Bombyx mori: one gene and its partner. The protein of the gene in region 1 interacts with the protein of each later gene in a pairwise test. Links are inferred from orthologs where the notes say so. Each region holds a gene or a part of one and is shown on either strand. Other genes may lie near its edges.

What was found.
Region 2: the proteins of N-alpha-acetyltransferase 35, NatC auxiliary subunit (region 1) and N-alpha-acetyltransferase 30 interact in a two-hybrid assay, tested with the Drosophila melanogaster proteins (2 studies listed by BioGRID). The link is inferred for Bombyx mori from reciprocal best matches to the Drosophila melanogaster genes Naa35 and Naa30A.

What each region holds. Positions count from the first base shown.
Region 1 is NC_085111.1:6,438,932-6,441,738, forward strand, and holds the end of N-alpha-acetyltransferase 35, NatC auxiliary subunit, read left to right. Parts: intron 1-294; coding exon 295-452; intron 453-1,038; coding exon 1,039-1,132; intron 1,133-2,082; coding exon 2,083-2,223; 3' UTR 2,224-2,262; downstream 2,263-2,807. UniProt on the Drosophila melanogaster protein: Auxillary component of the N-terminal acetyltransferase C (NatC) complex which catalyzes acetylation of N-terminal methionine residues.
Region 2 is NC_085124.1:7,689,605-7,693,829, forward strand, and holds N-alpha-acetyltransferase 30, read left to right. Parts: upstream 1-1,346; 5' UTR 1,347-1,373; exon of another isoform or gene 1,374-1,450; 5' UTR 1,451-1,836; coding exon 1,837-2,547; intron 2,548-3,210; coding exon 3,211-3,375; 3' UTR 3,376-3,808; downstream 3,809-4,225. Other genes in the region: NEDD8-activating enzyme E1 regulatory subunit, read right to left, coding at 3,966-4,225.

The DNA.
Region 1 (2,807 bases):
ATGGAGAAATATGGTATTTCCCACACTTATAGATAACATAGAGAAGGAATGCAGAATGCTAATATTTTTTAAGTTATACATTAATAATACATTAAATCAATAAAAAAAAACATTACACACACTACCATATATTTGACATAAACACACACACACGCATAAATGCTCTTTAGTTTATTGTTAAAGTCTGTTACTGTGTCTGTCTATCAAATTGAGAATAACTTTCTAGTTTGGTCAGTTTTTGATTTTCTAACCATTTTCAGTGTCACCCCCCTATAAATTTGATTGTTTCCGCAGGCGTTAGTCGCTTTCAAGCTGCAAGGGAAGATCCGTCAGCCGCAGTCCGAGTTCGACAACGAAGCGGTCCGGTACAAGCACCGGTTCGCGCCGCTCTCCGGCCTGAGTCCGCCCCAAGTCCACTACCACGAGTTCTGCGAGATGACGCAGCCGCTGCAGTGAGTTTTCAGCTTTAAGACACAAGTCGATTGAGTCGATTTTCGAGTAACGCTCGCGCGATCGTCGGGTCGTCGACCTGTGTATGCTGGGTGTTAGGAGTTAAAGTTAGTAATGACAGCTATCATGATGGGACGGGAAAAAAATCGATACAGATTTAAAAAAAAAATCATATTTTTAAAATTTTTTATTAGCATTATTTACGCTCCATCATGTTAGAACATGGAAGTCGTCGTGGCCTAAAGGATAAGACGTTCGGTGCATTCGTATGTAGCGATGCAACGGTGTTCGAATCCCGCCGGCAGGTACCAATTTTTCTAATGGAATACGTACTTAACAAATGTTCACGATTGTACAGTACAGATGGAAAAAAAAATATCGAGGCGTAAAAGATGGTTTTGTTTAAATGACATTTTTCCTATTTTACAAGAGAGTCATTTAAAGTTTAGAAGTTGGAAAAGATAACGTAACAAAAAAACTTTATTAGCCATTTAAATGGAACTTAATTGAAATATAGACGCACCCTAAATTACAAAGATAAATGTCGCGTATACACACCTCGATATAATATGTTTTGTTACATTGCAGGTACGAGAACCCTGTGATTCTGTATCTCGGTGGCTACAAACATTTTCAACAAGCTCGTTCCTTATTGGAAACTATAACCGTTCCCGATCAAGAGGTAAGATTTTTTTATTAATACAGTAATCGAAATGGTTCTGTAGGATTCGTTTAAAAAAAAAAAACAACAATAAAGCTAATTACTAGATCCTATGTTACGTGAAACTTCCTACTTTTTTTATTTTTTTTTATTGCTTGGATGGTTGGACGAACTCACAGCCCACCTGGTGTTAAGTGGTTACTGGAGCCCATAGACATCTACGACGTAAATGCGCCACCCATCTTGAGATATAAGTTCTAAGGTCTCAGTATAGTTACAACGGCTGCCCCACCCTTCAAACCGAAACGCATTACTGCTTCACGGCAGAAATAGGCGGCGTGGTGGTACCTACCCGTGCGGACTCACAAAGGTCCTACCACCAGTAAAGTGACATATAGGCAAAGTAATGAAAGTCTGAATAATCAAAAGTCGAATTTGAGATTTTAGGAAGATATCTGAAATATACTATGGTATTATAATCTAAATATAATAACATCCTACTAAACTGACCATCGTTGAATGTACGAAATACACTGTTTTATTAAAAGTGCATTAGCTCACCACCTTTTTGTGGTACTATGACGAAAACCTTTCCTGATATGTATATGATAAATATCAAGTTTCAAGTAAATTAGACCAGCAATACCAAAACACCTAATATATCAACAAACGAACAATTGGGTGGCAGTAATCTGTACTGTAAAATTATATAATCTACATTAAATGTGGAAATTTGTATCTTTTGTTGTTTCTTAGAGCTTACTAAATTACAGAAGTGACTGAATGAATTTTAATGAAATTTCTCATATCCATCTATTTATCTATTTTTATATTGACTTATTTAATCTAGTTTGAAGAACGATATGAAATAGCTCTCGTGAAACTACATGGAGGGTAGTTCATTGAAAAATATATATGCGTAAACTGGCCACAGAGTAATGTAATTATTAAATAAATAAATTTATTTTCAGGTGCAAGATCTGCTCAAAGTTGCCAAAACAAATTTTGTCGTTTTAAAACTATTAGCGGGAGGACACAAAGCCGACACAACTACATCGCCCGAGTTTGATTTCTCTGTACATAGACACTTTCCTATTATCAAATTAGTTTGATATTATTGTATATATGAATAAATAAATAAAGTTACGTGATCTGTGTATTTTTATGTAGTCTGTGCAGTTTGGCATCCCTAGATAAGAAAATTAATTTATGGCAACATTATCCTAAGTTCTGTAGTGTATTTACGGAGGCTATTACTAAGGAGTAACCTTTGTGCTTAAGAAGCGCCTGTCGAAAAGTAACCATTAATAGGCTGAGGGCGCCCCCGTAGCAAGTGGTGTAATATCGAATTTAGCGCCAAAAGTTAATATATTTTTAACCTAAGCACTGGTAGCCTTGAGGGGCTATTTTAGCTTCTCTTGGCTGTTATTTTTGAAATTCATCACTACACACTCCGTTTACATCTGCGATATTCATATCATACGACTTATTATTAATAGCGCTGTTTTGGTGGATTTTTTATGTTGCAATTAACTTGCAGTTGGACATTTTTTCAAATTGTCACCAATAAAAGAGAGTTTCGTTACCTCTAATCTCCTTATGTGCATTCATTATAAAAAAGAAAAATATTTAATATTTTTACTCAAAAACAAGGTTCAGCGTTACTTCTTTTTGAAGTCGCTTAAAAATAGAAAAA
Region 2 (4,225 bases), on another chromosome or scaffold:
CTTCGATAAACCAAATTTTTACCAACAAATTTAAAAAATATTGTTATAACTACATAGACAACCCTACAAACCTGTACCTATTTATACTTAGGTCGTTTCCATTTCACGTATTCTCATCCCAATTGACCCCTTTTTCGTTGTTATTTGTACCTGAGACGTCCCCAATATCCCCAAAAACAACAGATTTTTACATGTATTTTTATTTAATCAAATACATTAAAACCAATAACAACTGAGACTTACCTTTAATATATATGCTGGTTCAAACACTAAATAACGTTTATAAATCATAGTCGTCTTCTATTATTATCAAATAAATAAAAGAGAGCAAAGTTTCTAGCACTAAAATAATTACCACCACAGGAAGTTAATTTGAAACGCGATTTTTTATAAGTTAGCAGCTATTATCATGCATATTCAGAGTTGTTTTGTGAACTTTCAACATTCTACTATTAAACTACAAAAAATGGAAGATTTTGCAACGAATATAAAACTTATATTGAGCGTCGAAAGATTTTCCCGGTTTTTTCCCGATTCGCCTTTCAATCCCTAATCGCCCCATTTTACCGGTACCTATTCAAGCAGCCGAATACTGTAGTGGGTTGTATTTTGTATTAACTAAATCCTACTGAAATAAATTAGTGTTTTAGCCTCTATGGTTCCTTTTTTTAAAGGAATTCTATGACCTGGTAACTAAGACCTTTCAGTCATTTGTTATTTTAATTTAGATTCTTATTTTTACGAAAATTAATTTGAGACATTAATCAACTGGGATGAAATGAAATGAGATGAGATAATATGGGATGACATATAATCTCAGTAAAATAGTGGTCATTTACTGAGACTTTTTCAGTGATCTTTTTGGAGGATCCTGAGAAGTTACGTTCAGCGGCTTTGTTTCATTTTCCCACATTTGTGCACTTTTACAAATATCAAACAGTTAATAAACCACCGTTATTACACATTAAACCTGAAGAAACACTAAATAGACAAAATAAAACAAATCAACGGTGGTTTATTATCTATTTAGTATCTGCGAAAGTGCACAAATGTGGGAAAATGAAACAAAGTCGCTGGGCGTAACTTCTCGGGATCCTCCAAAAAGCCTACTGAAAAAATTTCAGTAAATGACCACCATTTTACTGAGATTATATTTCATCCCATATCATCTCTTATCACTTCATTTCATCCCAGTTGATTAATGTCTCAAATTAATCATCTTCATTTCATTCCATATTATCATTTTTCATAAAAATAAGAATATAAATTAATATAAGACATGACTTAAAGGTCTTAGTTACCAGGTCATAAAATCCCTCAAAAAAAACCAATTGTCAACACAGAAACTCGCTAACATTTTCAGCACACAAAAAGTTCGTTCTATCTACTTCTTTTTACCCAAAGATTGCTAAAGTTAGAATGAAATAGATATACTTTTGTTAAATTGCAGGAACCTGATAAGGTAATTGTGATTGCTTTGGATATCATCGTCTCTGAAATGCAGTTCGTATTATTTGCAATGTGATAGGTCCAATATTGTCCAAGTTGAGAAATCTTCTCGTCAAAAATACAAAAGTTCGAGTACATACCTACATGTGTACGCCTGACGAAGATCGTGTTACATCAGAAGAATTTGAATATTATTTCTATTCATTCTCAAAATCTACTCAAACACCAACTGGAATGGAGTTTTAAATGACAAATCAACTTGCCAAGATGTCGGTGATACTCCTCTATGAATTTGACAAGGAGAAGATGTGTATGTTGGTATAAAACAGAAATTGGACGAGCTTAAAAATCCTTTGAATGTGTAAATAACCTAGGTAGATCTACGTCATGAATAAAGTAGCGGATAACAACGTTCAGAATATAAAGTGTAGTCAAATGAACACGAAAAATAAAAGTAAAAAGACCAAAGATCTTTCTCAAGCTGATGAACTTTGTATAAAGAGTCAAGAACATTTGAATGAGACTTTAGCTAATACTCTACACATTAATAATATCAATAGTAACCTAACCAATGGAACGAGCGACCATTCGAACGGCAGTTCCGAAGTTTTAAGTGAGAAAGCAGATGGACAAGGTGAAACAGTGAACAAGGTCACGAACGATGTAAATAGTGTACAGCATAATGACACATCAAATAATTTTGAAGGCAAAAAGACAACCATGCCTTCAATAAACAGGTGTTTGTTAGATATGGCCTTAGAGAAGCTTGAGATAAACACCAACAATGAAGATCTATTGCCTCGTGATGACGTTGATATTGTCTCTTATGAATCTGAGTTACAAATGCCTGAAATAATGAGACTTATACAGAAGGATTTATCTGAACCATATTCTATATACACCTATAGATATTTTATTCATAATTGGCCTAAACTTTGCTTTCTGGCAAGACATGAAGGGAAGTGTATTGGTGCCATTGTATGTAAGTTAGACATTCATCGAAATGCAGTAAAAAGGGGCTACATTGCAATGTTGGCTGTTGATGAGAAATATAGGAAGCGAAAGATTGGCTCAAGATTAGTGCGGAAAGCAATTCAGGTTTGTAAAATGAAAATTATCATAAACTTGGCCATATCACTAAATCATATTTACCTAAATATGGCATGTACTAAAGGCTCTACTTCTAGAAGAAAAGTTATTTTAAACAAATATTTTACTTCCCTTAAAATACCTATAGGTAATGTGTAGGATAAGTGTGGTAAATGGAAAACCCATTGTTGGGGGTCAGTGGTAGACAGATCGGTTTGCATATTTATGGTAAAAGAGGATGTCTTTGTCATATCACAATTCCAAAGAGTATCCTTTGCCACTTTCTTATAGTATTGGGATCCTTGGGGTCAATATTTCGAGCAGTGTTCAGCATCAATGTTGGGAATGTAGACAACAACAGAGTGAATTAGTACAGAATGCCTAGACAAAGACCAGTAAAGCTTTAAAAAGTGCATGTCTTGCTTTATGTGGTGCTGTTCCCATCTCTTGTTGAGGACACCAAAATGTTTGCTACTTCCATTTAACTCTATAATAAAGGGGTACCTAATTTGAGTTGTTAAAAATCCTATTCTCATTGATTGTTTGGAAATGTGTATTTTACCATATTATGTTCCAAGGGGAGTGCTCTCAGGAATTGTTTAAGAATTGATTTAGAGACACAACTTAACTTAAAAAATTTGTACATTTTAAATATACATGTTTTTTTTTCAGGCGATGATAAATGACACTGCTGATGAAGTAGTCTTAGAAACAGAAATCACAAACAAACCAGCACTGAAGTTATATGAAAACTTGGGTTTCGTAAGGGATAAACGCCTATTTCGATATTATCTTAATGGTGTTGATGCATTGCGGTTGAAGTTGTGGCTAAGGTGAAATAAGTAGCTAACCGATGAGATTTCTCAATTTTGTGTTTAAATAACTTGCAATATGCAGTATTGAGTATATACATAAAATACTACTGTTTATATTCTTATCTATTGTGCAACATATTGCCATCTATGTGGATCTAGCCAAATGTAGTGTTTATTTCTCATTTTAATTCAAAATCATGTGATACATTGTATGTAATTTATTATAATTTTTTTTCTCAAATACTGTTTAATGATAAAATCTATTGTAACAAAAATAATGAAAACAATCGAAAATTTAAAAACACAAATTGAAAAATTTTTTTAGTCTCTAATTTTGTTTATGATTTCCCTCTATTGATGTTATTTTTTTCAAGTTTAAAGATGAATCTTAGATTTCTAAAAAATTCTGTAATAAAACAGATCGATTCAAAACACAATTAAAAAGTTTTAAATGATGTCTTTTTTATCTATACCTTATCAACAAGCTTAAAAAACATAGGTACTCCAATTTGAAAATGTATTTTTTTTGGACTGGGATAGGTAGTAAAACCAATAGAATATTTATTGGTTTTATTTGCTAGTAATAAAATGGTATCCAGCAGCTATAAGAATTTAGAATTCAAATGTTGCCGTATTTGTAGAAGCTCCATCATAAATAAATGTATTATTTACAGGTTTATATTGCTTGGTTATAATTTTAATGGCTTCATGTGCAACACATCCACCTAAAAAGGCAGACACACTATGTATCTCGGCTCCCCCATAGCGACACATTTCGTGGATATGATCATCTTTAGGAAATGGAGAACAAGATATATCACCTAAAAGTTTATTTACACAAGTTTTTAGCTTAGCAATGTCACCTTCTGGTT